Caenorhabditis elegans: one gene and its partners. The protein of the gene in region 3 purifies or fractionates together with the protein of the main gene of each other region. This does not show direct contact. Each region holds a gene or a part of one and is shown on either strand. Other genes may lie near its edges.

Region 1 (6,884 bases), on a different chromosome or scaffold from region 3:
AGTTCGTTCTATAACGCCTCGAGGCCCCTAAAGGTTGTGTGGGTCCTATACTTAAAACTCTCATCTCAGGAATGCAACGATGTTGTGAGAACAATCTACGAAGGTGTTGACGAGCTATCCGTACTGATTGCCACCTCGAACCACACCAGAAGCATCCGAGGAGCAAAACCCAGGAGACGATTTGATGAAGGTTTACTTTTTCCCCGAATCTGTACTTTTTAAAAACTCTCAAACTGTTCAGATGAAACCACAGGAACCTGTGATGGCTGTTGTATTCCTGGAGCTCCAGGCCCCAGCGGAACCCCAGGAAGACATGGACGCCACGGAGCTCCTGGAGCACCTGGAAGACCAGGAAATCCTGGAGAGCCACCGAGAGGTCCATGTGATCCAACACTTGCAAGCCCATGTGACTGTCCAGCTGGAGAGCCGGGAGAGCCGGGACCCCGTGGGTCACCAGGTAACAATGGATTGCCTGGATTGAAGGGGCGACGTGGATTCGATGGGCTGGATGGACGTCCGGGAAGGCCTGGAAAAACTGGAATCGACGGAGTTCCAGGGACAAAGGGAGAAGACGGAGCTGATGGAGAACCTGGGGAGGTTGATACTTCCGATGTTGGACCACCTGGGGATGATGGAGATGAGGGACAATCAGGAGAAGCCGGACAACCTGGAAATGATGGAAGAGATGGTAAACCAGGACAAGTTGGACCACCGGGACCACCAGGAAAAGATGGAGTGGATGGAGAAAATGGAAATGATGGAGATCTCGGAGAAGCTGGAATTCAAGGAAGACCGGGAGAGGAGGGGATCTGCCCAAAGTAAGTTGGTAGGCCGGCCTACATGATTACCTTGACCTGATTTCAAGGTTACCTAGGAATGCCTGCATGATTACCTAGGCCTGCAGAAATGATAAATTTACACGAAAAATTCCAGGTACTGTGCCATCGACGGAGGAGTCTTCTTTGACAGCGGATCCCGCCGCCGCAGAACTTAACTGATTTTTCTCAATTTCTCTGTCGGTCTCTCTTATTTGCTTTGAAAGGTGCTTTTTAGTGAAACGTGAAGTGCAATAAATAGTTATTGGTTTACTTTATCAGACTGATTGTGTATGTGTGATTCAACCCAAAAAAGTTCATGATAGACAGGTAAAAGGAATGAAAGAAAATTATAATTATTTCAAAAATTAAAAAATCAAAATTACTCGGAAATCCAGGAGGCCTCATTCAGGACGACGGCCTTATTGTCGACGATTTGGTAGGTAGGGACTAGAAATTTTGGAACTTGGGATAAAAAAAACTGAAAAATAAAAATAAAACTCACGAGTCTCATATTCAACCTTTCCGGTTTCAGTGTTGAATCTGGTCACAGCCTCGTTGGAAGTTGGAGCTGGAAATATTGAAGTTTTGTATGGTAGGTAGGTGTTTAATTTTGCCTACTTGGCCGCCTCGTGCTTAGGCAACTTTGTAAGTATGCCGAGGTAACTTTGTAGGTAGACCTAGGTGAAATTGTAGGCTGGTCTAGGTCACCGTGTTGATAGGCCTAGATTACCTTGTAGGTTTGTCTAGGTAAACTTAGGCAAACCTAGGTATTCTTGTAGAAAACAAGAGGCAATCATGTAGGCAGACATAGGTGACCTTGTAGGAAACCTTGTGAATAGGAATACAATTGCATGCAAGTCTCACAATCAGTAGCAATGCTGATAGGTCTAGGCCCTCTTGCAGACCATCCTAGGTCGCCTTGGGGCAGGCAAACTTTTTCAAACTTACATGCACATTGTGTAGTATGCTTGCAGTGTCTGAATTGAGCATTAGACCATTCACGAGCCGATTGGCATCCGAACCATCCGGCTTGAGCCTGAACAAAGCTTTTTTCTCTCTAGCTCAGCAATTGCTAAGACTTACTGGCATAACTGTACGGCATGGTCCCTTGGTGTAGGTGTTCTGCCACGCGTTCATGAGATTCTGAGCATACTTGCAAGCACCATTTGGGTCTTGAGCGGTGGCAGTCATGTAGGTATTCATAGCGGCAGATGTCTCTTGTTGGTAGTTGACGTAGGTGCTCTCGACGCAAGTGGTCAGGGTCTTACGCTCGTACATAGCTGAAGAATGTTCGAAATTTGAAAATCTGCTAAAAGATCAATGGCGCTTACTCCAGAATCCGGCTCCACACTTGAAATCCCAGTCGGCCAAGAATCCTTGGTAAGCGTAGGCGGTGTTAAGATCGAGTCCAGATCCGACGAGTCCGACGGTTCCGAGGCAATTGCGGATTTGAGCTTGTCCAAGGCATCCGTAAAAGGCAGCGTAACCGCTGGAATTTCGGAATTGAAAAGTTAAAGATTTTAAAAAGAAAGGCTTACTTGCAAACATTGACCCATGAGTCAATGACATATGGGGAGACGATGAGAGACTGGGTGATTCTGTCCAAGCTCGCCAAGTCCTTCCAGGCAGAGGTGGTGCTGAAAATATGTTCTGAATGACGGGGTGAAAACAATTTAAAGGTCAATTTCAGGTATCTAGTTTTAAAATCAATACTTGTAGACTGAAAATAATAGTGTTTATCTACTTCTAGAACTACTCGGATCACATTATAGGTATTGATATCTATACTAGGTGTGTTCTGTTGCTACTGACCTTATCAGAACATAATCGCATTAGATTTGCAAATTTTATATGTGGAAGTTTTACTCAATTGGAATTTGAATATTAATATCATCATAAGATTGAGAAAATTAACATTAAGATCAAATTATTATGTATATAACTATGTATATAAGAGCAAAAAATTGTTCATAGAGTTAAATGCAAAAATGTGTGAAAAATTTGAAAAAGTAAGTAGAAAAGCTTAAAATGTCGGTCTATGGTAATTTCAATTTTCTATAGAAATACAATTTTTAAATTATCAATTATACTTTAAAATGTAAATTTTGTTTTAATTGTGCGGCGGTGTTTGCATACTTTTCAAAAATATGTGTTCACCGACTCCACCCGGCAATTTTTTCGCAGTGCCAAGCTGTCCCATTACGGTTTGATCTACAAAAAAACGGGAATTTTTTGCACAAAAAATGCGACCTCAGCACGTTCTCAACCATGCGAAATAAGTTGAGAACTTTGCGTCTCTTCTCCCGCATGTTTTGTAGATCTACGTAGATCAAGGTGAAATGAGACACTCTGACACCACATGATTTTCAAAAAATTAGTCACAATTTCGTTTGTAAAACTTACTCAGTTCTCCAAAAATCTCCTAACTTGCTATTACAAGCCTGAAACTGTGCGCTCACACAGTTGTCAGTTCCGAATTGAGCAACAGCGGCTCCGTAAAGAGCTGAAAATCTCCAAAGTTATTTTTAAACCTTTGTTCGATAAAATCTACGTACCAGCAAAAACGATGGCAAACTTCATGCCGAAAAGGTGATGGTGACGCAGGGCTGGCAAATTGAAAAAGTCGTCTCGGGGATTGATAACGACGGCAAACCGTCGTCGGCGAATATTTGCCTGCTCCCTATCACTATCCAACTCATTTTATTAGGCACTCCTCCCTTCCAACCACTTTCATCTTATTAGCGAGGTGAAAACGCAATTTCAGGGTGTGTTCACACAACGTCATTTTGCAAATGTAATCAAAATTGGACTTTTATTATTTCTAGAATAAAATTTGAAAAATAATATTTTGAAAGTTAGAATAGGATGCTGAAAATTACAATGGAGATGGCGGTGAAGATTGAGAAGTTTGTAGTGGAACCTGAAAAACTATAAATATTGAAAGTGTAGTATCTTGAGTTTGCAGTTATCTGCGTACTTAAAGGCCCACGTATTTATTGAAAAAAAGGTATTGCCGCGAGGAAAAAGTGGGAATTTCTGTGATTTTATCAATAAAAAAACTTGATTAATGTTTTCTTAACTGAATAATTCTTATTAACATACAATTTTTTCGTGGCAAGACCCATTTGAATAAGAGGCATTCTTAAATGAACCTACCTGAATGCTGCCTAATAGCCTGTGCATCTGATAGCCACCTGGATAAATGACCATGAATCCGGATTCTCGCATCTTTCAATGATTGTTTATCCGAATCGCTTGCTGGATACATATCAGCACAATGAGATGTTCCTTCGATCAACCAAGCATCAACATTATTATTCGTGTTATTCCATTTGTAGCCAAGACCATTCCAAGGATCGAAGGATCCGTTTGGAAAAACGACATTGGTTCCACGATATGTGCCAGCTCCTCCGTATTTAGTACGAACTTGATCTACGAGTTTGAAAGTATTATCCAGGGTGTATTCCGGCCCAAAGAGATCAATGCATTGATCGGCGAAGAAACTGAAAATATTTTCAAAATACAGTACTACCTGGCTTTAACGTTTTGTTTGTTCTTACTCAAGTGGAACTGTAGATCCAAAGATTCCACCATTTCCTCCGTCAGTAGTCTGATAATATCCGAGCTCCGTGCAAGTCTGCCAGATCCAACTGCGAGTGCCAACTGGAATTTCAATTCGATTCTACAGTACCTTTACAATACTCGGAAACTCACTGACGTTCTCATTGGGCATTGTAGTGTCCGAATAGGCTTGAATAAAAGCTGTGTAATTATTTGGTCGGCATCCAGACGCTGATGGCTTAAACCAGGAATCATAAAGATTCATCTGGAAGTTAAAATTAGGTGCACTACTAGTAGAGGTACACCTACTACAGCAATAACTCTCTGGACCTCATCTCCAATTGTCGCGTTGTTTAGAAGATCACAAGCTGCAGGAACTCCCAATCCGGATCGTGTAGCATTGCTCTAAAATTGTGTTGTTTTTTGAAGTAATGAAGAGATGTTCATAATGAACCTTATTATCTCCGGTATATTGATTGATTATCTGAAAGTATCCATAGACATTTTGGAAAAAAAATTGCACGGCTTTTGATAGATTCGTCTCGTCGAAGCTGTCACAAAGACTGGAAAAATTGGATTTAGGACATATTGGTTAAGCTCGTGATAGTATTTTCAGAACTTCCCAAAAAGGTATGTCCTTTTTGTGAAAAAAATAATTCTGGAAGAAACTAAATCCTGCCAAAACTGACAAAAGCTAAGAATCTCAAATTTTTGAGAGATTTCAATGATATTAAAATTAAAATCATTTTTTCTCAAAAACTAGGTACATATTTTATTTATGAAACCCACTTGAATTGTTGTTTAAGAAGTGCACGGCTATCCGATCCATTATATGCTTTAGTGATAAGCTTTTGGAATGCAACCTTGATAACATCTCCACAGGAGTCACTAACAGTTCTATAAGTCTTTTCAGTATTAATAGCATATCCATAATAATCTACAAATACATGAACAGCAGAAGAAGATGATACTGCTCCTGCAGTCATTTCTGGATATGTTTCTCTAAAGAAAGCAGACAATGATCCAGGATATGATCCTCCGAATGTCACCCAAATTGGTTTGTCATCTTTGAAATAAAGTGCATTTATTTGAGTAATAAACTCTTTAATATCAGCAAGTGCCTGATCAATTGTCAAAAGCTTCATGCTCGCTGTTGTCTGATCTCCAATTGGGGAATATTCTTTAGATCCGTAAAATCTGTGCTCGACTTGAAAAGCGGCGGCTTGGAACTCTGCCACCCATTTCATCATGGTTTCTCCTTCATGACGGATCCATCTATCTCCATTAGTTTTATTGATGGAACTTTCACCACCAATCATCAGGAAGACGTATCCAGTTGTTTTGTTGTAAAATTTCCAATTGTATTGGTAGTGCTGAAGAGGTTTTTTTTTGACACAAGACACGCCTCTTTGGGATTTTTTTCGGTATTTTCCACCGAACGTTTTTGTAAATTCTTATTAATTTTTGTCCGATTAAAAGTGATAACAGAACAAAAATCATACATTTGATGAGTCAACAAATTCGTTCAAGTACGCAAAGGGGCTTTAATATTTCTAAGTCACGCTTCACATACACCTAGGGGGACTCACCTGTTGCCAAACTCCAATATTTGTTCCATTTGAGAAATGGTCGACTTTCTGTGTAATATTCGAGTAAATCATATATTTTGCATCTGTAGTAGGTCCTTCTGCGGGATCACCCGTCAATAGACCTTCTCGAGGCCTTCCAACGACCATTGGAGGTGAAACGTGGCATATTGTGAGCCCAATTGAGATAGCTACGAGGCATAAGACCCGAGACATTCTGGAAAATAATTGGAAATTTTTTAACGGTATTGTATGTCAAAAGACAACTATGGGACAACGTAGTGGACGAATTTTTTATAGCCGTTTAACACATAACTTTTATACTCAAAAAAGCTCCAATTTTTAGAAACAACGTTCAAGACAGTTCAAAAAAAAAGAAAACGAAGCTTACATTGAAGTTTGACCAACTGCCAAAAGTTTCCAGTAGCCAGCCGCCGTTGATTGTTAGTCGTGATGATAAGAGCAGAAAATCGTAAAATTGAGTCATACCAAACGAAGAAAATATGTAGTTTATATTTAAATGAATCTAGGTACTACAAAATTTAAGAAGAAAAGTTTATCAATTTTCAACAATGTTAGTTTTGAATGTGTTAAAAAATTTAGAATAAGATCTTAAACATGACAAGACAGACGGCTGCGAAGATTGAGATATTTGATGAACCTGAAAAAAATCATTTAATAGATTTTTTATCAAGACGCAAAAACTCACCTGCAGTCCTAATAGCCTGTGCATCTGATAGCCACCTCGATAAATGACCATGAATCCGGACTCTCGCATCTTTCAATGATTGCTTATCAGAATCTCTTGCTGGATACATATCAGCACAATGAGCTGTTCCATCGATCAACCACGAATCAACATTATTATTTGTGATATTTGCCGTGTGGCCGAGGCCTTGCCATGGATCGAAAGAACCAT
Region 2 (8,361 bases), on a different chromosome or scaffold from region 3:
TAATATTCTGTTATTTTCATTTAGTTTAAAAACTATCAGATTAATCTATGTGTCTCGTGTGATTAATTCTTCTCAAAATATAAATTTCCAGAAAAGAATAGCTGAATATCATACATGTGCCGAACCATTTCTTCAATATTTTCGTAAATCTAGTCGAGTTGTATCAATGTCATTAACAGCAGAAGCCGTTCCAAATCTTGTAAACACCACGAGAGAGACGTTATTAAAACTTGGATTTACAATGACAAGGAAAGATGATCACATTATTTGTTTCACTACTGGTAATTATATTTCTGTTTTAAAATGATTCTCAATAATGTTTTTTTCAGAAACAGCACACGATGACATTGATCTAACATATTACAAGTTGAAGTTAGTGAATGCTGGAGAATTGGGTAGAGCAAGTGACAATTTGGTGAGTTTCCAAATTAAATTTTCAACTGAACCATAAACCTTTTTTAATTTTTTAGACTGCTCAGATCTCAGCTGTATACCGGTATATTGCAAGCCATAACCGCCATGATGATAACTTTTTGGTAGTGGTTCCAAGTTTCAAGAATCAAGATGCGGAGGTTTCATTTTTAATTTCAAAAAATATATAAATAATTTTAATTTCAAGTTGCAGAAGTTCAAACGGATTAATTTTATGGAAAAGAAGAAAGAGGTTTATCTGGATGAATTTATCAAAAATAAGCAACACGACAAACCTCCGAAAATGAGGTTAATCTCATGATATCCAATACCCTAATTATTATAATTTTATTTCAGAACTCGAATTGCAGTCAATTGTATTTCATCGTCTCGTCAATTATTTCTATTCTTTGAACCATTTCCAACAAGTTTTGCTCAAAATATATCTCTTCTATATCTTAAACAAGTGAGTATTGTTTCCCACTTTATGGTGCCTGTCCCGTCCCTTCTCCATAGGTAATACAACCGTTGGCGAAACCCGCAGAATGTCCGCACATGTATTCATTCTAATTCAAGAGGAGAGCTAACACTTCAACTCTGGTTCCTCTGCATTTAACCGTGAAAATCTTTCGCCTTTTACTAAAGATTTCCGTGCAAAGGAGCATACATTGAGTATTATATACAATTTTTGGAGTCCCCTTGAGAAAGCGGGACAAAATTAATCACATGTTTTCGTATGAGTGATGGATCGTAAAAAATCAAGGAAATGTGAAATGTGTAGATTCAAAAATAAACATTTATGAGAACTGAAAAACTAGGTTATTTAAAGAAATCTCACAAAATTTCGACATGTTATATCATATTGTTATAGTATCATGATCATTTCAGAAAGAACAAAGCCAACCACGAGACAGTTGACGGGGTGGCGTCGAGTCGGAAACATTAAACAAGCGGCGAAGCGAATCTTCCGAACGAATTTCAAGACATACTGAAGAGCCACCAATGGAAAGAGAAGCTCGTTCAGTTTCGGCTCAACCTCGTCAAATGGGATTCCGTGCCAAAAATCGTATCGGATTGTCGCCGAATACGCTTTTTCCGTATTGAAATCGGCTCGACGCCTCTTATCATTTTGCTCCTTTTTTGAAGTGCCTTTTGATTATCACTTGTGTAGACATAAATATCTACAAATTGTTCCTGATCAGCCACACATACACTTTCTGTTCCGTTTATTCAAACACGGTTAAAAGAAAAAAAAATCATTTCAATCAATAAAACTCTCATTACATCATTTTTTCGTTAACACGAAAGTTTTGGGGAGGATGATAGTAGAAGTGGAAAAAGCCATAGAACAAAACTTCGAAGAAAACCCCTAGAATACAAAAAACACCGCACAAAAAAGCTGGAAATAACTTAGTGTTTACTTATAAATCAGAAAGGGCGATAAACATAAAAATTCAATAAGTTATGTGATTTTGAAGGCAGAAATATGAAAACGGGGAGGGATGAATTGGGTGGATAGTTGGCAAAGGGAGCTTACGACAGGAGTGACCAGTAGAAATAAAAATCACAAAAAAAGACGAGTGCGCCAAAAACACTATAAATTACATAATTATTTGATAAGAAAAACATTATCACATTCCCATAATACTAATTAACAATTTCCCAAAGAATGTTAGAGAGTGACCGACACCAGATGGGTTAGAAAAAAACCTCTTTTTGGGGTGAAACATGAAAAATAAAATAATTATCTATCGATCGATCTGCTCTGAATCATTCGTCAAAAAATTGTGCATGAAATTACGGATGGAATGGGGACATTGATAGGACGGGAGGGGGGGGGGGGGGGGCTTAAATTACATACACAAAAAAATAACACTGATACTCAGTCTTTCTGATCTTGTTGGGCAGATCGATCGACTACCAGTCAATCTTCCTCGTCTAAATTTAGATCGTCCATATTCAGGTCTCCATTTTCAGCATCTCCAAAATCTTCATCTGACCATTGCGTATCATCTTGGAACTGTAATTGGATTAATTGATTGAATTTTCGCAGTTTATATAATTTTCAAAACATTTATAAATAAATACTTACATCTTGAGCAGATTGTTGTGAAGACGCGGAAACCAAATCTGGAGCGGCGGACCCCCGTGGTGGGACAATATCAGGCCGGCTTGTCTCAAGAACAACATCAGGAGTTTTAGATGTTCCATGAGCATCGGCACTTTCTTGATTCTGAAAATAAATTGGTGATTCTAGCAACGAATAGTCAAATTCCATATGAATAAAAAACTGTTCAAAACGTACAGCTGGAACATGCACCTCTTGCTGATCATCATCGAATTCTTCCTGTTCTTCCTCTTCTTCAGGTTCAGGTTCGCGGATCGGTGATGGCTCACGAATAGGGGATGGCTGGCGTACAGGCGAGGGTTGACGTGCAACTGATGGAGGAGGTGGAGCTTTCAATTGTGTCTCGGTTTGTCTTGGGGCATTCTTAAGTACTGCTTGGCCATCATCAGTAAAAGAAACTGCTCCCGAAGCAACAGCTTCATCCAATTCCTCTTGAATATTCCGGGTAGCAGCTGATGGCACTCGAACGGATGCTGGGACTGGAATCTTGGAGATCTCACGAACGAAAGATTCTGCTTTCAGTGATTGGGTAAATCCAGGGAACAAGTTTTCATACTTCACTGGATCGGCAAGAGATTCTCCAATCTTTCTGCTACTCTTTTCGCTGTGTCCCGAAGCCTTGGCTTTCCACAATTCAAGAATAGATGAAACTCGAGACGGCGCATGTGTTCGAGCAAGGAACGCTGCTTCTGGGAGGCGACCAGTCGAAATAAGTTTGTCTAGACAAGCATCAATATCTCCAAGAAGCAAACTACTGAGGAAGCTGATATTGTGGCTTTCGGCAGCAGCAGAGTCATCCGCAAGTTTCTGAAGAAGAGGAGCTGATCCGGCACACGTTGCAAGAAGCATTAGACCTCCGAAATCGCGAGCTCTTCCAAGACATTCACCAGCAAGAAGAAGTTCCGACTTAAGAGTGGCGGCGTTGCTGAGAGCCTTCCATTTCTCTTCTGAATCGCTTTGCAGTGCCAAATCGTAGGCAGTCTTCAAATCTCCAAGAGCTACCGAGAGATCGAATCTGAAAACGTTCCAAAATTATTGCTGAAAAGCTGAAAATTGTCTTACTTGTGATCAGGGTCTTGAGAGACCGCAAGAGCCTGCTTCTTGAATCCTTGCTTTTCGAGGAAATGAGCAACACGAGTTCTCTGCTCTTTTGGAATTGTAGTAAGTACCTTGTCAGCAGTATCGAAGTCACGGCGCATTACAGCAGTTTGATATTCAAGAACAGATAGAAGAAGTTTGTATGAGATCACGTTGAGATCCTTATCGACGGCATAGACTCGAGATTCCTTAGCCATGTATCCCAACTAAAATATTTAAGTTTTAAAAATGATAAGAACAACGCATGTTTTAAAATCTCACCAAATAAAGTGGTCTATCAACATGAGCAATAGTGACAATTTCTCCACCGACATAATAGTTGATTCTATTGAGTGCAGTGGTGAAAATAAAGCAGTCCCCGATCCAGAATCCCGTCTTCACAGCTTCTGCCTGTTCTCCAATAACCTCAAACGCGTCTTCAATACCGTCTTCGGTCACTTCTGTTGCATTGGCAACTGCTTCAGCACTGTACTTGAGAACGTAGAATGAATCATCTCCACAAATTGCGACCATCTCTCCGTTGTCACTCCAATAGATGCTCTTGGAAGTAATTTCGATACGACGAACAAGAACGGCTGATTCCCAATCAAAGAAGCACAAAGAGTTGTTCGATCTGAAACAAAAAATTAAATAAAAGTCAATTGATAAGAGTTCAAAAACCTCAAGGCAAGAAGTGGTCCACCAGAAATTCCCTCAAGTACCATATCTGAACGAATTGACTTGTGATCCTTGAAGTTCTTCTTTATCTTCACATTGGTGGCAGATTCACGGACAGCAAACATATTTGGATCAACAGCCCAGACAAACTCGAGTCCTTGTCCGAAATCCTTGTTTCTGAGAGCCATTGCAGTATAAACAATGTATTCTCCGTCACCACAAGCGACAACAAAACGTCCATTAGATGAATGAGCAAGGGTTTGTGGATAGATTTCAGAAGATCCGAGATCTTTTACAGAAAGCGGCAGACGTTCTCCATCTGTAAATGAACTGTCTTAGAGTGATAATAAATGAACACAATTTCTCTTTTTTTAATACTTTCAGAAAACATGTGCCGAACTATACAAAAGTCGAATGAAAGTTTTCCAAACCTTGAATGGCTTCCGACTCTTCAGTTGAGATTGTCTTCAGGTTAGCTTGCTGAATTTCGGAGTGCTTTGCCCACAAAATCTTTCCAGACGAATCCATACTGACTGCTGGTTCTTCTCGGCCTAATTTCAACGTGACGGAACCTTCGTCGTATCCGATGGCAATAGTGTTGGCTCCTTTTTGAGCTTGGATGCACCAAACACGTTCCAACCCATAATTCAAGGTTGTTTCCAGTCTAAAAATTTTAAATTGTTGTTGTGGAAATCGTACTTTAATGTTCTTGCCTGTAGGTGTTTGCATGCCACAATCTAACAGTGGAGTCTTCGGATCCTGTGATTATCAATGGCAGTTCTGGGTGGAAACAAACTGAAGACACATTTTGCGCATGTCCATCGAGCGTTTGCACACACGTTTTATTCTGAAAATATCATTTTGGATGAATGCAAAGAGAAAAAAAACTTACTTGGTAATCCCAAATCTTGACCAGATGGTCATCAGCTCCAGAAATAATGTATGGTTTCTCTCCACCATGATAGTAATCGACACAGTTGACTCCTTTCTCGTGTCCTTCCAAAGTGAAATTCGGAACATTCGATCCGAACTGCCATACTTTGACAGTTTTGTCAAGAGAAGCAGTTGCAAAAGTGTTATTATCTTTTGGATTGATGGCAATCTGCATGACATAATGAGTATGCCCTTCGAATGACTGTTTCATTGCCCATTTGTTATCCCAATCCCACATTTTAACAAGCATGTCGTCGGATGATGAAATGACGTAGGGAAGTGTTGGATGAACAACGAGCGATCGGAGATAATCAGAATGTGCTTCGAATTGATGAACTCGTTCCAATGTGTTGTAGTTGAAAACTCTAATATGCATATCGTCAGATCCCGTGACAACCCAGCTCTTTCTTGGAACGAACTTCGCTGCACGAACTGGTACGTCACACACCTGCAAAATTTAGATTCAGTTATTTCGTAATTTCATGAAGTTTGCACATAAATTTGAAAAAAAGCTTACTTCAAATGACTTTACAAGCGTTTGTGTTTCGTAATTCCAGATGTGAACATTTCCATTGTAAAGAGCAGCTAGAAGCCATGTTTCGACTGGATGCAAGTCGACACATTTCACGCGGTCCGAACGAGCCAGAAGCTTTCTTTTTACATCAAGTCGGAGAGGCATCTTGTTCTGAAAAAAAGCTAAAATAAATAAACTCAATGTAAAATTAAGCTGAGCACGAAGAGGAAGATTTGCAAATAGTCAGCTTATAGAAATAAAATAAAACCGAAAGAACATTCAAAAATCGATAATATTCTGGATTTTTAGAATTCAGATGTTTAAATCAACCGAAATTAATCTTTTTTAGAAGAAAATCTTAAAATTCATCAAAAGATACGTTGGCGAAACGATAGAACACTCAAAAGGTAGAGGCGCATCCATCGCCAACTCAGAAAGCCCCGATCGTATCGAGACCACAGCGGGAAAGTCGGCGTGCCTTTGACTTTTTTGTCTGCGTTTCTCACATTTGTGAGGTGTCTCTTACGAACGGTGGCTGCTTCGTGGCAGATTTTATAAATAAAATTGCATTCAGGAAATGTTGTAAAATGAATGAAAAAAAATTACGAGAAAAATCAACTTTTTTTGAAACTGATAGTGAAGTTGTTGAATGTTTATGCAAATTTTGCTCTGGACAACCTTAAACGTTTTAGATTTTTCAAAAAACTCAGTTATATCTTAAAATCGAAGAGGCCCCCTTTGCAGCCTTAGTTTTACCTGATTATGGCAATCTTCTTGCTTATTGTTGTGTTCTCCACAATGTCCAAACCAAGAGCAATATTATAGTAGAAAGAGTACTCGATACGAGTCAGGAATAATAAGAATAACCGATTTTGCTCGTTCTTTTTGTAAATTATCAAGAGAATTTACATAAATTTAGCTAATTATTTATGTAAAATGTGTGTGTGTGTGTGTGTGGAAATGGTATGATTCTTATAATATTGACAACACAATGCTCAAATACAAATAATCAAAACGTAATGCAACAACTGGTAGAAAATAAATAGCTTTCTGTGGGACTTCAAAAATATGGAACTTTTGGTCATTTTCGTTGTGGTTCCATGGTACGAACCCATGTTCATACAGGGTGGGCCAAAAGTATGGTAACACATGAAGCGCTCTTTTACATGAGATTTTCGCGCGACTGCCACGTCATACGTACATTTTTCTATCGAATACTGATAGCTGAATAAATTTCCTTCAATTTGACCCAAAATTTGTAATGTTTCCCAATAAGGTGCGATTTTAATCACCTCGGCAATTTGGCGAACCCTTTTTAAAACGGCATTTTGGCACGCGGCACTTCCCACACAAACGCACCTCCCACGCACGCCAATAATTTTCAGATGTATGATTTTTATGTTAAATTGAAAGTTAAAGAAATGAAGAAGCGTTTTTGATTGTTTTTGTAGCATATAAAAATTTTCTGTGTCGACACTGGCGCCTAGCAAGAACCTTTGAATATTTCATGAATTAAACTTTCCGAAATTTACTCAGTTTTTTTGGTTTCACAAGGCGTAACGACCCACAAAATCAGCAGAGCTAATTTTTTTCTAAAAATTCTGAAAATTCAGGTCAAACCGTGCCAAAAAGTACTAAAATGAATACTGGTGCCGCCGCTCACATCCATCTTTCTGGCGACTGTGTCATTCAAGACCTAAACTACTGCCACAGTCCGTACAGAAATACCACGATAGAAATTTTTTGGATTTTTGTTTTTAAAGAATCTCCAGACCAAGAGCATTCTTTGAACTATAAAAACTTGTAAGATACTTGATGGATTCCTCGAGAAAAATGTAGAAATCCCGCAGAATGCCGACTTGCGTGCCATAAAGATCGTGATCTCAAAAGTTCTGAAGGCCTGCAGCAATGCGGATGGGGATATTTTGAAAATTCAAAACGTTAATCTGGTCAGTATTTTATGGAGAACAAAACTTGTACACATTGATGTAATAACTCCCTCCACACGTGAAGTTATAGAGCTGCAAACGTGTTACCATACTTTTGGCCCACCCTGTATTTACTAATTCTGTGCACGACTTATGAGGTGAACAACGAGTCTCTTGTTCTGTTCTCTGTGTGTGTGTTAAGTTGCAACCTTGATGCAATTAAAAAAAAAACCCAACGAATTTTTCTCTTGCTTAAAAATTCTCAATTCAGAATTTCTTTCAACTTTTTGACGGTTATATAATTACCGAAACATGTTTCGATACTGTTCGTCATTTGGCACAGTCTCTCTCTTTTTCTACCTTTCATTCCGAGGGGTTCATTAGCCGGACAGGCGAGCGAGCAATTATCGAGTGAAAAGAGAAGTCAACGAAGATGACGAAGAAGAAGCTGCCTTCTATCTGGATACTTCTCATTGACGACTACACACACAATACAATAATATTCAGGTCACCGATTTATTGAAACGAACTAGAAAGACACTTTCCCATTCAACCTTTTCTTCCGAGAAAACGGCTAACGTTGCTAACTTCAAGTTTCCTCAGTTCCGAAAATTTTTCACACTTTTTGAACATTGATGCTTGTTATTACTTTACTTGGTTTTCTGGTTCCTATACTTCAAGGTAAGTTCCCT
Region 3 (6,653 bases):
TCTCTGTATTTTCCACTGGAGTAGTACATTGGTTTTTGGTATTTGTTGTCCACATTTACATTAGATGTAATGGAAATTTCAGAGAAAAGACGGAATGGATCGGCTACTTTGCCCTTAAGTCCTGTTAGTTGAGCAACAATGTGAGAAGATTGTCCGACGACTGGTTCCGAGTCACTAGCATCATCATTGACTCCGACGCTAGTTCCAATGAAAAGATCATATTCTGAGCGGGCTTGAACACGGTACGAGCACGGAGTATTTTGCTGCAAACAAAAACATTTCAATTCTTTCAGTTAAGCTATGTAGTGAGCAAAAAAACTGAATTATTCATTTCAATAGTACTTACCACATTTGACACAACTGTGACCAAGTGCTCACCAACAACGGGGTTTGAAATCTCATACAGTTGAGTAGTTCCACTGTCGACAATCTTCAGAAGAGTATTGGTATTTCCATTTGGATCTGTGACAGAAACTGTTAACTGTTGTCCGACAGCGAGAATCATGAGCTCAGTGGTTGAAGTGTCAACGAAGAAAACTCTCGTTGGAGTGGCGCAGCTAGCAAGATCGTCAATAAGTACCGAGTTCATTTTGTAGGCTGTTGCTTTGATCACGTATTGGAAAATCTGAACAAGCAAAATATGGTGTTGTAGGATAAATTGTAAACTAACTTGTTGCAAAGAGTCAACAGATGGTCTCAGGATAAGTCCTCCACTGTAGTAAGAAGCGTATTCGATGGCTTGGAAACCTTGGCTCATTTCATCAAATGCACAATTAGATTGAACAAAGTAGTGAGTGTATATCTGAAATTGCAACTTCTACTTATGTTAACATCAGTTATGTAGTACCGGGAACTTCATGCGAGTGTTTTGCTCAATGACGGTTTGCCATTTCTCGACATCACTAGCAGTTGCGTCAGTGAACAAATAGACTGGAGATTTTTGATAGAGAGCGACTTCGTTAAAAATAGAGCCGATCGCATCAAAAGTAGCATCCGAACATTGTCCAACAGCAGTTGAAGCTTGATTGATGGCAGCCAGGAAAGCATTTTGGTCAAATGCTGGGTAGTAGGTGTTGGTGTAAGCACCGTTTGCAAATTTAACAATGACAAATCCTTTGTATACTTCGTAGTTGTTGCCGTCGTTACTTGTTAGTTCTTTGTAGATAGCACTGGAGATCGCATTTAGGTTTTGATTCATCGAAACGGTGCTTCGAATGATAACAACCAATGTCTTGTAGTTGGTAAGATATTGTTCCCAGTTCAGTGGACAGGTAACTTGAAAGATATATTTAATATATAAATATAACTGAAACTTAACATACCATCTTGACAGTTTGTTCCATGGTATCCAGCAGCACATTCGCATAGATTACCGTCTGGATCTGGGAATCCGGCGTTCATACAGTTAACTTTTTCACATTGTTTTCCATTAAACAGCTCAGAGCAGAAGCATGTTTGGCCTTGGTTAGCAACATTGAGGAGTGTTCCATTGTTGAAACAAGTTGTCACCGGAGCTTGGGTCGTTGTTGGAGGAGCTGGTGATGTGAGAAGTTCTGAAAAAAGACTGATTGCAATTTGTAGTTAACAGTTATGAAACTAATAATTCTTGAACGCCTGAGCTCAATAAACTCATGACACTTTCAGCTTATAGAAAACTAATCATTCAAATAACAAAAGCGTTGTTGACTTACGCATGCATGAGAATCTTCCGGTTCTTCTGAAGTTAAATCCGTTGGCGTCAACTCCATCAATCTGAAAGAAAACATTAAACATTTTAATTTGAACTTCGTAGTACATGATAGAAGTAGGCATTTCCAAGTTGACATTGCCACTGTCCTGCATAGTATTCATACCCGCACTGATACCTGAAAAAATGAATGGGGAAAGTGATTTGCTTTTATAGGGGTGTTAATGTTTTCAGGAGATAAATCAAGTCTAAATGCTAATTATTTCCACAAATACAGTTCCCTACCTTCTTGTGAGAGCTGCTCTGTAGACTGGAGCCAAAGAATTGCCTTGGCGAATGGTGATAGATTGAACTTCTGCAATATAAAGATTTTGTTTTATATTTAAAAAACGAAACTAACGAGCTGGTGAATTGTCAACGTGAGCGGCCATATACATCGGAACACCGTTGATTGCAGATTCACCATATGGAGGGTCGTCTGACTGTGGAGAATACACAAATCCATCCACAGCTTTCAATCCGCTGGGGTCACCCTAAAACTGACTTCATGTGCTTTTGTATTGAAATTTATATGGAAATTACTTAAAATTGAAAACTATAAATTAAATATGCTTTATATAATGCTTTATATGTTGGAACTCTCGCAGTTTTTATAAATAAATGGCTGCTGGCACAAAATTTATAATTGCAAAATTAAAAATTGGTTGTTGGTTAATCAAAGATGGTTAATCAGAGATAAAAAACCTTTGTTTTATTTTATTTTTATAAAAACGTTTTTTTTTGCTAGGAAAACTACATTTCATAAAATAATCTGAATAATGACATTCCTTATCAATGTCTGAACTTTTGAAAACTTCCCGGTGCACTTGAAGCAAAATATAAGTTAGTATGTATGACATATACAATTCATTTGGGCAGTATGGAACATCGTTGTTTTAAATATAATTTGTTCTTAATTTTAGTAGACAATTCCAGGTTTTAAGAATTTCAGAAATTATGTAACTTTAGGTAAGGTTCTTTTGATGAATTCACTATATTATTCATTGATTTGATCTTTAATAACGACATGGTATACAGTATTTTTATAACGCGCCATTTTATTTCCAATTCCACGTTTTAATTCATTTTTAGCGCGCCCATTTTGATATGCCGAACTCGTAAAAATGTAGGGAGGCAACTCATGGTTATCAGTTTTTCATCTTGTTACGATGGCAAATGTTGAACATTTTGAATGAAAATGTGCGAAATGTAACTAGAAGGCAGACTACAAAATCTCACTTACATTAACTTCAATGATGCATTCGCTTGTTGGAACACCCTGGTTATCAATGGACAAGGTATATCCACCAGATGGAAGATCGGCGTAGACATTCAGAGAATAGCTATCGTCGGCTACGGAGTAAGATGGAGAAAATACAACTCCCTTTGCATCGGTCATATTCACATATGGAATTCCAGCAGCCGAAACATGGATTTGAATGGTTTGGGTAGGCTTGTTGCCTGTTGAATCGACAGGGATGTAAAATCTTGAAAAAAGAAAATCGTTTTGAAGCAACTAAATTAAAACTCATGCTTACGGTCCACCACAGCTTCCTTGGATAAACATAATCTCAATACTGGAAGTCTGTCCAGATGTTGGTGCAGGTTTTGGATCAGTACAGATTGGGTTTTTGCATCCATCACCAGTCCATCCATTTTCGCATTGGTTGGCAATTCCAAGAACGGCAAAAATCGCACGTTTTGCTCGAATATGGAAAGCATCAGTATTTGTTAGTTCGGGATAATAATTTGGTAGGTGATGAAATACGGAATCTGAAAAAAAAAGTTGTTTTTGTAAAATAGATTTAGTTTGAGTTACCAAGATTTGGAGCAGCTGCAACTGCTGTTACTAATAAAAATAAAGCCAGTAGGAGCCGCATCGTGTGCAGTGGCGACTCGAGCAGCAGCGGACTGAAACTGGAAGGGCTTGTCTTGCCCTATCGCATATGTAAGACCGTGAAAATTTTTTATTGTTTGATAAGCCAATTTTGCTATTTGCCCCGACGTTTTGCCGACTGCCACATTTTTGCCTTCAAGAACTAATATGGTTATCAAGTGATTGCACATGGCACCACGACGACAGGCGTGTATAACGATGGTTTTTTGATAATTCTGAATATTATTCGAATGAATAAAGATTATGAGCAAAAGTAAACGTGGGAATTTACTTCACCTTTAGATATTATTGCTCAAAGCAACATTTACAACAATGAAATGAATGAAAATATTTGGCTTAAAACATTAAGTCTGTTTGGAAATAACAACAGTGTAGTTCGGTCTACTGGCTTTACGTTTTACTTTGAATTAGACTATTATCATTGTTGGGAATGTTTACTTGTTGCTTGTGATTTTAAAAACGGTTCAGTTTTCAAGTAATCAGATCGATCTCGGAAACCCTGAAATGCAGATTTGTCATGGATATGTATCAAAACGAATGCTATGTGGTTAATATGTTGTACTAATTCGGTTAATATATAAACTTGGTTGTAATAATTCTAAACGCTCTTCGTGCATACTTAGATGATTTTTTGAGATCGTAGCATTTTAATTGACTTTTGAACAGATTGTAGTTGTTTTTTTATAAATTTCAAAAATTTTGTAGAAAGTATTAAATAGTGTAGGGCAGAGAAAGAATGTTATGAAAAAGATTGTTTTATATTTCTTTGTGTTTTATACTAAAATTTGCATAATCACAGTGTTCCTCGATATGTTTGTGCAATTATGATAGTTCGCTTTTGATCGCATACCGACTCGTTGGAAATATGTAGTTTCCTGATATGATTCAATTTCTTATCAGACCTATCAATTTAAAATTGCCAACAAATTAATTTACGTAAGGAGTACACACCCAAAATGGAACTCAAGTCAAATTTTGTAGCAATGTTTTGAAACAATTTTGTAAAAAAATGCTTATTAGAAACATTGTCTAAAAATATTTAAAAATTATTTGGCTAAAACTAAATATTTTCCGCTCAGGCCGACTAACATCAACCGCACCATGGAAAGAATCAAATATCTTTGTTTATAAGATATAATTTGTGTACCTTCAACTACATATGAACACACCCATGTTCGAAAATGATTACATTACTGCTGGCACTAAATATCTGCAAATGCAATTTTTCAATTATTTCTGAATCAGTAATAGTGATTTCATCAGGTCAAGTGAGTGTCGTCTGTGAAACTATTGAGATGAGTAAAAGAAAATTTAAATCTTACTATGATAACGAGGATTATGTTCCGGAACTCAATGAACTTAACTTAACTGAACGTTAATGAACTGTTTTGAAGATTGCACTTAAACTGTACTGAATACAGTTGCTCGTTTCTTTAAACTAATCTTCCGATTAAAATAGTTTTGAACTCTTGAATAACATACCGTATTTCCTCTATTAGTCTTGCATGCGAAAATAATTTTCAATCGTCACATAGGGGTGCAAGACTAATAGAGGAAATACGGTAATAGCGTAACAAGCATAACAAATGATTGAAAAATTGGATTTTTGGCTAAAACTACTCCTGTAGAGCCGAAAGTATCGAATATCGTACTAAAACTGGTCAAATCATTTTGAAATGTTTATATTAACAGACAAAAACGACAAAGAATGAGTTTGTACCAACCTTTGTAAAAAGAAAAGCACAGTCCCCCACAGTGTTTAAACATAAATGGTTTAGAAATGTGAACAAAATCATTTCCAATTGTTTTTTCCACATTTTTAAAATATTTTCAGTCAAAAACGTGTTTGCGTCGCTTTTCGACTACAAAAAAACAATGTTTTAAACGCTTTTGAGAACTTTTACTATAATATTTTCTAATTTTAACACCATTGTAGTAAGCTTCGATAACTTCTCTACTGACGCTACTTCACCTTAGTTGAGCCCAAAAGTACCTATGCTTCCAATAAAGCATAGCAATGCTGATATCATAGTGATTATCAGTTTTTGATTTTCTGAACAACTTTGCAAAGCTTGTTGAGACCACACATAATATTTTTACACATTTACAATGGGCATCAAGTTGTTTCATTAAATTCGCATCGTTATCACACTTACACCGCAACGGAAGCTGATATGGATCTGTAGCAAGTTCAACTAACAAATTATCATCTTAAGTGTCACTTTTCAAAATTTCCGTAGCTAGTGTAATCCCATCGAATCAGCTGTTCGATCTTTCAATTAAAGCTCGTTGCTATCCTTTCCCTTTTACGCACCCGTCAACCTCTCATTTTCTCGACGTAAGACCAAAAAAAAATGATGGGAGGAGTTACTGACGATGAGTAAAGAGAACTTGCCTTTTCGCAAGTTGACGGCCTCCAGTGACGGCGCCCGCATTTGACGTTACCCCTTGTTTGCAAAGTCTACGGAATCCTTCCGTGTCTTAAGAAGTACTTCCATACGGTTTCACACATCTGTTTTTGTGATTTATCCCATTGGGTTCTTAATCACTGATCATCTCCCTCAATCGTCTTCATGTGGAACACCGCCAACCAGCATGCTTATCCGTAGAAACGTGTTTCTTTCTATCTTATTTCTCCTAATAATTGTTATTGATAGCAGGTGTGAAGAAGAAGAGAATCAAAAAGGTATACATAATTAACAATTGGCCACGAATAAAAATTTTTTAAAAATTATCTTAGTTAGTTCATTTATCTTTTTCCTTACAAAAGTCTTACTTCCTTCCTCGTTTCCTACATCCATTTACCTACTTGTGTGTTCTTACCACTTTCTGATATTCTTTTTGAAGGTTATTTTTCTGTTCAACAGGTCTAGCACAGAAAAACGTGTGATAGATATGAAGAAGAAGTCAAAGATGAGACAAGTGTGAACATCTTTATCCGGATGTCTTCTTTTTATTCCTTTTGGTGGCTAATGGCTAGAGTAATGTGTTGAATGACAGATATGATGTTTATGAGTGAAAATACATGCA
Region 4 (9,798 bases), on a different chromosome or scaffold from region 3:
CAATTTTGTATAGAAAATTGGCCCTGTCAAGTGAAAAAAAAAAACCTTCAGCTTCTCCTTCTCCAACGATCCTTTCGCCTTTTCCTGGCAATTGTTTGATGCGGTGACTTTCAAATTTTCCCTTGAACTTGGCTTTTTTGCCACACTTTTCGCTGCAAAAAAAGTTTCGATGTTAGAAACTAGAGCTTCCAGGCAGGCATCGAAACGCCTGCCGCAGACGAGAGGCAGGCCCTGAAAGTGCGCCTACCTCCCATGGAAGCTGCTCAACAGTAAACTCTTACCTGTCTTGTGATACATTTTACTAGAATCCCAATTGATTTTTTTGAAGTCGGATTGTGAAATAACGGTGAAATGCCGAGAAATCGAGTTTATATACGAAAAAAAAACTAGAGAGGAGGGGGGGGGGGGGAGGTTTCGGGGTTACGTGAAATTTGAAAAATTGCCGGAATTGAAAATTTCCGGCAAACTGACATATTCGGAATTGAAAATTTCCGGCAAATTCGGCAAATTGCCGGAATTGAAAATTTCCGGCAAACTGGCTAATTTCCGGAATTGAAAATTTCCGGCAAATTCGGAAAATTTTCGGAATTGAAAATTTCCGGCAAATTCGGAAAATTGCCGGAATTGAAAATTTCCGGCAAATTCGGAAAATTGCCGGAATTGAAAATTTCCGGCAAATTCGGAAAATTGCCGGAATTGAAAATTTTCGGCAAATTCGGAAAATTGCCGAAATTGAAAATTTCCGGCAAATCGGCAAATTGTCAAAATTCAAAATTTCTGGCAAATTTTGGAAAATTGCCGGAATTGAAAATTTCCGGCAAACCGACAACTTATCGAAATAAAAAATTTCCGGCAAACCGGCAATTTGCTGAACGGCTATCTGAATTTCAGGCAATTTCCAAATTTTTAAATCTTAAACATATAGTCTCAATTAAAAACTTTATTCATTGTTCAATATTAGTTTTTATTTGGAGCATCTGGCTGATTATCTGGATGAGCCAATTTGAATCTAAAATCTTCCGCCAGAATCTCATTAATTCGAGTAATAGTTGGATATTTGGACATGTCGACTTTGTAGCTGGAAATTTCAAAATTTTTAATTTAAAAATTCAAAATTTTGAAATAACCTACATTTTCGCATTATAAATTATCGATGGCAAGTTGATATCAGCAATTGTAAGCTGATCTCCAACACAATATTTCCCAGAATGCTTCTTCAAAAGTTCTTCGAGAGCTAAGAATCCCTTGTTCACAAAGTGATTGCACCACTGAAATACATTTTGAACTATCGGGAAACGCCTCTTGGAACCTATTGCGGTTTGATCTACAAAAAATGCGGAAATTTTTTTCACCGATAAAATGTGACGTCAGCAGCACGTTCTAGAAGTCTGCGTCTCTTCTCCCGCATTTTTTGTAGATCTAGGTAGATCAACCCGACATGGGACACTCTGACACCACGTGAGAACCCACAAAGTCACCGTATCCCGGCTCCTTTTCATTGAGCATTTTGTGGATATTGATTGCTTGAAGTGGCTGAATACTTGCGACTATCTGAAAAGAGCTCGCTTAGAGTTGTTAAAGAATGTTAAAAGCTCACATGAAGTGCGATAGCTCTTGAATACGATCTCTTATCCAATTCTTTTGGAAGGAACGGAGGATCCGGATAGGCTTCATCCAAATATTCGATTATTGCCAAGCTTTCTGTCAGTGATAAGCCATTTATCACTAAAGTTGGAACTTTTTTCGCTGGGTTGTGCTTGACGAACTCTGCATTGTTCTGAAATACAGCTATATTTCTATGGAAGTGGGAGTAGGGCAGGGGTGGATGGCAAATTGCCGGTTTGCCGGAAATTTTCAATTCCGGCAATTTACCGATTTACCGTTTGCCGAATTTTACCGATTAAAATTGAAATTCTGAAATTTCCAGAAAAAAATGTGCAAAACCACAAGTTGCCGAAAGTTTTCGGCAAATTGTGTTTTTCCGGCAAATCAGCGATTTGCCGTTCTGCCGAATTTTGCCAGAAATTTTCAATTCCGGCAATTTTCCAATTTACCGGAAATTTTCAATTCTAGCAATTTGCTGGAAATTTCAATTCAGGCAATATGCCGAATTTGCCGAAAATTTTCAATTCCGGCAATTTTCCAATTTGCCCGAAAATTTTGATTTTCATTAAATTTTCGATTTGCCGGAAATTGTAATTTTGGGCAAATTGCCGATTTACCGTTGCCAAAAGTTTTCGACAAATTGTGGTTTTTTCCGGCAAATCGGCAATTTGCCGCTAGGCCGAATTTTGCCGGAAATTTAAATTTCGGCACTTTGCCGATTTGCCGAAAATTTTCAATCCCGGCAATTTGCCGCTCTGGCGAATTTTGCCGGAAATTTTCAATTCCGGCAATTTTCCAATTTGCCGGAAATTTTCTAACCTTGGATTCTTCAGAAAATAAGTCGATTGGCCGGTATTCGTAGTCGATATTTTTCAGAGCAAGTGCTATAAATCAGTATTTTATAGAATTTCCAAGCTAAAATTACCGATGCGAACTCTCCAGGCACACGACGAACGCCAATATGAATATAAAATCGGTTTTGCCATGGAGTTAGAAGCTTCTAAAGAAGAAAATTGAAATATTTAAGCAATAAATGACATTTTGAGAAGAAATTAAATATGAACACGTGGGAAAAATCTTCAAAAACCCTAATTTTTCAGTTAAAAACTACTTTCTCCGAATAAAACCTCCATTTTCCTCAATTTTCAGCACTTTTTTATGTCAATTCCCACTTAAAATTCCCCTTTAACGGTCATTTTTCCTAAACTGTGCAGTTTCGCGTCGCCGTGTTTGCACACATTCCGTTTGATGCGCAGGTTTCCACGTTGTCCTCTTTTCTCCATTTTCTGTCTCTTTTAACGTGGATTTACCGATTTTTATCTCTGAAATTCTTAATTTTTATGGTATTTTTCGTAGTTTCTTTATCAATTTAATCGAAATTCCAAGTTTTTTCATTGATTTTTTGCATTTTTGTCTGTTTTTTTTAAACATTCTTATATATCCACGTGTCATTTCCATAATTTCAGAACCTTCATTCACGCCGAGGAGCAGTTTTTGACTGGTTACCGACTATAAATCGGATATCATGTCGCTCCTTATCAAATTTGAATCAAAATCCGCTAGGGTTAAAGGTAAATATTTTGGTTTTTGGCATTATTTTTCAATAATTTCCCAATTTTCCAGGAATTTCGTTCCACCCAACTCGGCCATGGGTGCTCACATCGCTGCACAGTGGAGTCATTCAACTCTGGGACTACCGAATGTGCGTTCTTCTCGAGAAGTTCGACGAGCACGATGGTCCAGTGAGAGGAATTTGCTTCCATCATGATCAGCCGATCTTTGTGTCTGGAGGAGATGATTATAAGATTAAAGTGTGGAATTACAAGCAGAAACGCTGTATTTTCACACTTCTCGGACATTTGGATTATATTCGTACCACTTTCTTCCATCATAAGTATCCATGGATCATTTCTGCGTCCGACGATCAAACGGTTCGGATTTGGAATTGGCAGAGCCGAAACTCGATCGCCATCCTCACCGGACACAATCACTACGTCATGTGTGCTCAATTCCACCCAACCGAAGATCTTGTGGCTTCTGCCTCCTTGGATCAGACCGTCCGTGTTTGGGATATTTCTGGACTTCGGAAGAAGCAAATGCCTGGTGGAGGTGCTCCAAGCCGGCCAACCGGAGGGCAACAAGCTGAGCTATTCGGGCAACCTGATGCAGTTGTGAAGCATGTGCTAGAGGGACACGATCGTGGAGTCAACTGGGTTGCATTCCATCATACCAATCCAATTCTAGTCTCGGGATCCGATGATCGTCAAGTCAAGATTTGGCGTTACAATGAGACGAAAGCCTGGGAGCTCGACTCGTGCCGTGGACACTACAATAACGTCTCATCTGTGATCTTCCATCCAAATGCTGACTTGATTCTTTCCAACTCGGAGGATAAGTCGATTCGTGTGTGGGATATGCAGAAGCGTACCAGTCTTCACGTTTTCCGACATGAAAATGAGCGTTTCTGGGTTTTGGCCGCCCATCCAAGCTTGAACATGTTCGCCGCAGGACATGACAATGGAATGGTCGTTTTTAAAATTCAAAGAGAACGCCCGGCTTATTGTGTCAGTGATAATTTGGTTTTCTATGTGAAGGGACAACAAATTCGCAAGCTCGATTTGACAACCAAGTGAGTAGTTTGATGCCAAGAAAAGTGTGCCGCAAAATGCATTTTTGCACAGAATTAGCGTTTTTTTTTTGCGAAAAAAAGCGTGCGAGAGTTGCGAAAATGCATTTTCCGGCGCACTGAATCATGTTTTTGTGGAGTCTCAGTAGTTTTTAAATGAAAAACTTTAAATGTGCCCCATTAAGCGAATTTCGTATTTAGAGCCTCCAAAAAATCGGAAAAAAGGCGTAATTTCAATAGCTAAATTCTCCAACTTCCACTGAAAATAGCAGAGTTTTTTTTGAGATTTATCAAATTTTTAGCTTTTCAAAAAATGTTTTCTGCTTTTTACGAACAAATCTTTTGTTAAACAATGAAAATCGAATTTAAAATGACTAAAATTAACTTTTTCCGTCCACTGGTTGTGAAATGGGTTGAAATTGAAGAAATCAACGGGATTTTTCTGATTTTCTGAATATTTTTCTATTAGAAATCGGTTTTAAACCATTTTTTTTTACTAAAACCGATTTTTAATAGGAGAATATTTAGAAAATGAGAAAAATCCCGTTGATTTCTTCAATTTCAACCCATTTCACAACCAGTGGACGAAAAAAGTTAATTTTAGTCATTTTAAATTCGATTTTCACTGTTTAACAGAAGGTTTGTTCGTAAAATGCAGGAAAAAAATTTTTAAAGCTAAAAATTTGATAAATCTAAAAAATCTGTTATTTTCAGTACGAAGTTGGAGATCTTAGCTAAATTTAGAGCTTTTCTCCGGAAATTTTGAGGACTCTCACTACAAAATTCGTTATTTTTTGTACATTCAGAGGGGATGTACAAGCAAAAACCCCTCTAAAATCAAATTTTCAGCAAGGATGTTGCTCTGTGCAAGCTCCGTTACCCACAACCATTCATGCAACCATACTACTCTCTTTCCTTCAATCCTGCCGAGGGAACCTTCCTTCTCACAAGCCGTACTCACAATAAGGATCTATGCGCCTTTGAGCTGTACAAAGTTGCCAGTAACTCTGATGGAACCACTGAAGCTGCGTGCGTCAAGAGCACCGGAATCAATGCACTTTGGGTTGCTCGTAATCGTTTTGCAGTTCTTGACAAGGCTCAGAATGTGTCGTTGCGTGATTTGACGAACAAGGAACTTCGCAAACTCGAGAATATCAACACGGCTGTCGACGATATTTTCTATGCCGGAACTGGAATGCTCCTTTTGAGAAATGATGATGGGCTTCAACTGTTTGATGTTCAGCAAAAGATTGTGACTGCTTCAGTGAAAGTGTCGAAAGTTCGTTATGTGATTTGGAGCAAGTCTATGGAATTCGCAGCTCTTCTTTCAAAGCACACGCTGACCTTGGTCAACCGTAAATTGGAGATTCTGTGTACCCAACAGGAGTCGACTCGTGTGAAGAGTGGAGCTTGGGATGATGACTCGGTATTCCTCTACACCACTAGCAATCACATCAAATATGCAATCAATTCTGGAGATTGTGGAATCGTTCGTACTCTGGATCTTCCTCTGTACATTCTGGCTATTCGAGGAAACGTGCTCTACTGCTTGAATCGTGACGCTACACCAGTTGAAGTTCCAATTGATAATTCTGATTACAAGTTTAAGCTTGCTTTGATTAACAAACGAATCGATGAAGTTGTCAACATGGTTCGATCCGCAAATCTCGTCGGTCAATCCATCATTGGATATCTCGAGAAAAAGGGTTACCCAGAGATTGCTCTTCACTTTGTCAAGGATGAGAAGACTCGCTTCGGGTTGGCAATTGAATGTGGAAACCTGGAAATCGCGTTGGAAGCCGCCAAGAAGCTCGACGAGCCAGCAGTCTGGGAGGCTCTCGGAGAGACTGCTCTTCTTCAAGGCAATCATCAAATTGTTGAGATGAGCTATCAACGAACGAAAAACTTTGAGAAGCTCTCGTTTTTGTATTTTGTTACTGGAAATACGGATAAGCTTGTCAAGATGATGAAGATTGCACAGGCTAGAAATGATGCTCACGGACATTTCCAGACAGCTCTCTACACTGGTGATGTTGAGGAGAGAGTTAAAGGTAAAAATGTGCAGCTGGATTTCAGAAGGGGGCAAAAGTCAAAGTTTTATTGATTTTTAGCTCCTCTTTGCGTATTTTTTTCGTGAATTTCTGCAAATTCTAGACGATTTTGAAATTATTGAACCTAAAAATGGTCCAAATCTACCGAATATCGTCATGAGATTTCTCAAAAAAAAATTTGGAAATCTACCAATTTTCAGCTAAAATCTCATATTTTGCCAACTTTTCAGTTTCGCAGCTGACGGAACTTGATTTTTATTCAATTATCGCTATTTAATACGTATTTTGGTCGTTTTAACGAATAAAAGTGTGATAGACGACCAAAATATGTATTAAAAAGTAATAATCAATGACACACTAAAGTTGGCAAAATTTGAGATTTTAGCTGAAAATAGGTTTTTTTCCAAATCTCAAAACCGCCATAACTTTTTTTGTGAGTTTTCAGAAACTTTTCAGGATTTTTCATGACGAAATTCGTTACTTTTTGGGTCATTTTCAACAAAATAAAGTATAAAGTTAATTTTTCAGTGCTCCGAAACTGTGGACAAACTTCTCTGGCCTACCTCGCCGCAGCCACTCATGGATATTCTGCTGAAGCTGAGGAGTTGAAGGCTGAACTCGAGAGTCGTCAGCAACCAATCCCACCAGTTGATCCAAATGCTCGCCTCCTTGTCCCACCACCACCAGTTGCTCGTTTAGAAGAGAATTGGCCACTTCTTGCCTCGGCTCGAGGAACTTTCGATGCACAGCTTCTTGGATTAGGAGGACAATCTGCTCCAACTAATGTTGGCGGTGTGAAGCCTGCTGCTGCTGCCTTTGCTGTTATGGATGATGATGTTAGTTTATTGATTTCTGAGCTATCTGAGCTATAAAATATTAATTTTTGCAGGATGGTGATGTTGGAAATGAAGCATGGGGAGATGATGAGTATCTTGTCGGAGAAGATGGTGAACTTGATGTTGATGAAGGAGAAGGACCAGTTGATGGAGATGAGGAAGGTGGATGGGATGTGGATGATGATCTGGCTCTTCCTGATGTTACCGATGATCAAGGTGGAGATGATGATGAGGAAGTGGTTCCTAACCCAGCTCCAGCTGTCTCATCGGAATGGCCGAATGTTTCTCGTCTTGCTGCTGATCATGTTGCAGCTGGTTCATTCGGAACTGCCATCAAGCTTCTTCATGATACAATTGGAGTCGTTGAAGCAGCACCATTCAAGGATGTATTCGTGAAGGCTTATGCAGCTTCTAGACTCTCACATCGTGGATGGGGAGGACTCGGACCAGCTGGACCAGTGTCCATTCATCCGGTTCGTAATTTCCAGGAGGATAAGAATCATCTTCCAGTCGCTGCGTTCAAACTTTCTCAACTTGCAAAGAAACTGCAAAAGGCTTATCAAATGACGACGAATGGAAAGTTTGGAGATGCTGTCGAGAAACTGCGGGAGATTCTTCTATCTGTTCCACTGATCGTTGTGTCTTCGAAACAAGAAGTCGCCGAAGCGGAGCAGCTCATCACAATCACACGGGAATATCTTGCAGCACTTCTCCTTGAAACTTATCGAAAAGATTTGCCAAAAACGAATTTGGAGGATGCGAAACGCAACGCCGAACTAGCTGCCTACTTTACACACTTTGAGCTTCAACCAATGCATCGTATCCTGACACTGAGATCTGCTATCAATACTTTCTTCAAAATGAAGCAAATGAAGACTTGTGCATCACTTTGCAAACGTCTATTGGAGCTCGGTACGTGCTTGCGTTGTTGATTTTTTTAAATTTTATTTCTAATTCTTAATTTTTTTTTCCAGCTCCAAAACCAGAAGTTGCTGCTCAAATCCGAAAAGTGCTGACTGCCGCCGAGAAGGATAACACTGACGCGCATCAGTTGACCTATGATGAGCATAATCCATTCGTCGTGTGCTCTCGTCAATTTGTGCCTCTTTACCGTGGACGTCCACTCTGTAAATGCCCGTATTGTGGAGCATCGTACTCTGAAGGGCTCGAGGGAGAAGTGTGCAACGTGTGCCAGGTTGCAGAAGTTGGAAAGAATGTTCTTGGGCTCCGAATCTCAACTCTGAAGAGCTAAAAGTTGTGAAATATGATAATTTTTTCGTTTTTTGTGTGATATTAATTATTGTAATTTATTTGCCTTGTTCTTCCACAATTCCCATTGCTTTTGGTCCCTTCATATTATTTTCCCGTTGGGCGGCGGTTCATGTTTTCTATTTAAATTATGTGTTTTTAAAAATTATTTAAACCCCACAGAAAGATTATGATTGCATGCTGGTCTATTTTATTTGAATAAATCATGATTTTTTTACTTTTTTTCATTTATCTTTGGGGTAAGAAAATGTTCTCTAAATCAGTAATTTACATGGAGAAATTTGCTCGAAAAAATTCAAAAAAAATACAGTAAGAAAATTGTCGTAAAGTCTAGGGTTTTGGTATTGCGGACTACGACAAAATGCACACAAACCATTTTGGCACCGGAAAAAGGCAAAAGCCAGGATTTTATCGCGTTTTGGCTCATTTTTCTTGCAAATTTCCATGGAATTCAGTTAACATATACCTAATTATTCAGTTATTTCGAATTAATCAATAATTTTCAGTGAATTTCGCAATTTCTAAGTGGTCCAATGATGTCTGTCCACATATTTCCTTGAAAACTGATTGTTTTATCGGAATTTATTGATTTAAAATAATATATATAATAAAATCTGAATTTTAGAATCATTTTTGACGTGGAAAAGACCCGAAAAATCCAAAAATCACGAATAAACTGAACAATTAAGGTATTAATTTTTGATCCCCCACCCCCAGTTTCTCAGTTTCTCAGCAAAGGATTAAAACAATTGTTCTTCTTCTTTTCCCCCTACAAGAATTTCCTGTGAATTTCAATCGTAAAAATATCGATTTTCTGTTTATTCTTTGGATGAGTCACCGCACTCGCCGATTGTTTAACTAGTGCAGTTCGGCAGTTTTACGTTATTTTTTCACGATTTTTTGGATTCTGATCCTCTAGGTGACTTGAAAATACCGAATTTCATATCGTAATATGACAGAAAAATTTATGGCGGTAAAAAAATGCGGAAAAATTTTCTAATTTTAACGGAAAACTCCAAAAAGCCGTTGGAAAATGATTTTTATTTGATATTGGCATATTTAAATAATTTTTATCCTGTTTTTTAGTGGATTTGGATATTTTAACCCGATAGTTATGTATAACGGCTTAAAAATTGCCAAAATCAGCGAAAAAACGCGAGAAAAATCACTTAAATATGGAAAATAGAACAATAATCAAATAAACCCGATTATCCAAGCCAAAACTGAGTTTTTTTTTTCGCATTTTTGAACTTCAAAATTTCGAAAAAATGGGCTATTTTTAACGAAAATCCCCAATTTTGCAATTTTTTCGTGTCACAGCCGTCGGAAATTGATTTTTATTTGATTTTTGACACATTTGAGTGATTTTATCCTTTTTTTTTCGTGGATTTAGGTACTTTTAGCCGATAGT

The links.
Region 1: the proteins of hrg-11.3 (region 3) and nspg-10 fractionate together in Caenorhabditis elegans (co-fractionation; one large-scale study listed by BioGRID). This does not show direct contact.
Region 2: the proteins of hrg-11.3 (region 3) and copb-2 fractionate together in Caenorhabditis elegans (co-fractionation; one large-scale study listed by BioGRID). This does not show direct contact.
Region 4: the proteins of hrg-11.3 (region 3) and copa-1 fractionate together in Caenorhabditis elegans (co-fractionation; one large-scale study listed by BioGRID). This does not show direct contact.

The regions. Positions count from the first base shown.
Region 1 is NC_003282.8:4,602,404-4,609,287, reverse strand, and holds nspg-10 (uncharacterized protein), read right to left. Parts: upstream 3,503-6,884; 5' UTR 3,399-3,502; coding exon 3,374-3,398; intron 3,322-3,373; coding exon 3,222-3,321; intron 2,456-3,221; coding exon 2,357-2,455; intron 2,308-2,356; coding exon 2,150-2,307; intron 2,099-2,149; coding exon 1,902-2,098; intron 1,855-1,901; coding exon 1,767-1,854; intron 1,387-1,766; coding exon 1,321-1,386; intron 1,266-1,320; coding exon 1,198-1,265; 3' UTR 1,071-1,197; downstream 1-1,070. Other genes in the region: col-110 (Nematode cuticle collagen N-terminal domain-containing protein), read left to right, coding at 70-190, 242-818, 934-994; F19C7.4 (Serine protease K12H4.7), read right to left, coding at 3,674-3,738, 3,975-4,321, 4,379-4,481, 4,533-4,644, 4,689-4,784, 4,834-4,942, 5,169-5,752, 5,969-6,181; F19C7.2 (Serine protease K12H4.7), read right to left, coding at 6,565-6,626, 6,675-6,884.
Region 2 is NC_003282.8:9,457,282-9,465,642, reverse strand, and holds copb-2 (putative coatomer subunit beta'), read right to left. Parts: upstream 5,913-8,361; 5' UTR 5,907-5,912; coding exon 5,745-5,906; intron 5,676-5,744; coding exon 5,187-5,675; intron 5,142-5,186; coding exon 5,008-5,141; intron 4,959-5,007; coding exon 4,726-4,958; intron 4,614-4,725; coding exon 4,298-4,613; intron 4,251-4,297; coding exon 3,899-4,250; intron 3,844-3,898; coding exon 3,602-3,843; intron 3,555-3,601; coding exon 2,717-3,554; intron 2,645-2,716; coding exon 2,504-2,644; intron 2,432-2,503; coding exon 2,336-2,431; 3' UTR 1,623-2,335; downstream 1-1,622. Other genes in the region: F38E11.6 (Adenylate kinase), read left to right, coding at 92-281, 330-415, 471-572, 620-720, 769-877, 1,300-1,329; cutl-17 (PAN domain protein), read left to right, coding at 8,305-8,350. UniProt on the Caenorhabditis elegans protein: The coatomer is a cytosolic protein complex that binds to dilysine motifs and reversibly associates with Golgi non-clathrin-coated vesicles, which further mediate biosynthetic protein transport from the ER, via the Golgi up to the trans Golgi network.
Region 3 is NC_003284.9:11,496,244-11,502,896, forward strand, and holds the start of hrg-11.3 (C-type LECtin), read right to left. Parts: upstream 3,757-6,653; 5' UTR 3,607-3,756; coding exon 3,546-3,606; intron 3,500-3,545; coding exon 3,265-3,499; intron 3,214-3,264; coding exon 2,970-3,213; intron 2,221-2,969; coding exon 2,088-2,220; intron 2,043-2,087; coding exon 1,973-2,042; intron 1,866-1,972; coding exon 1,796-1,865; intron 1,753-1,795; coding exon 1,692-1,752; intron 1,554-1,691; coding exon 1,323-1,553; intron 1,276-1,322; coding exon 848-1,275; intron 803-847; coding exon 671-802; intron 626-670; coding exon 347-625; intron 264-346; coding exon 1-263. Other genes in the region: F29G6.1 (Kazal-like domain-containing protein), read left to right, coding at 6,219-6,309.
Region 4 is NC_003279.8:2,894,134-2,903,931, reverse strand, and holds copa-1 (Coatomer subunit alpha), read left to right. Parts: upstream 1-3,071; 5' UTR 3,072-3,130; coding exon 3,131-3,176; intron 3,177-3,228; coding exon 3,229-4,234; intron 4,235-5,080; coding exon 5,081-6,282; intron 6,283-6,810; coding exon 6,811-7,118; intron 7,119-7,171; coding exon 7,172-8,030; intron 8,031-8,092; coding exon 8,093-8,370; 3' UTR 8,371-8,603; downstream 8,604-9,798. Other genes in the region: pph-7 (Tyrosine-protein phosphatase), read right to left, coding at 46-152, 282-297; gst-43 (maleylacetoacetate isomerase), read right to left, coding at 958-1,078, 1,132-1,268, 1,471-1,551, 1,598-1,777, 2,425-2,489, 2,531-2,591.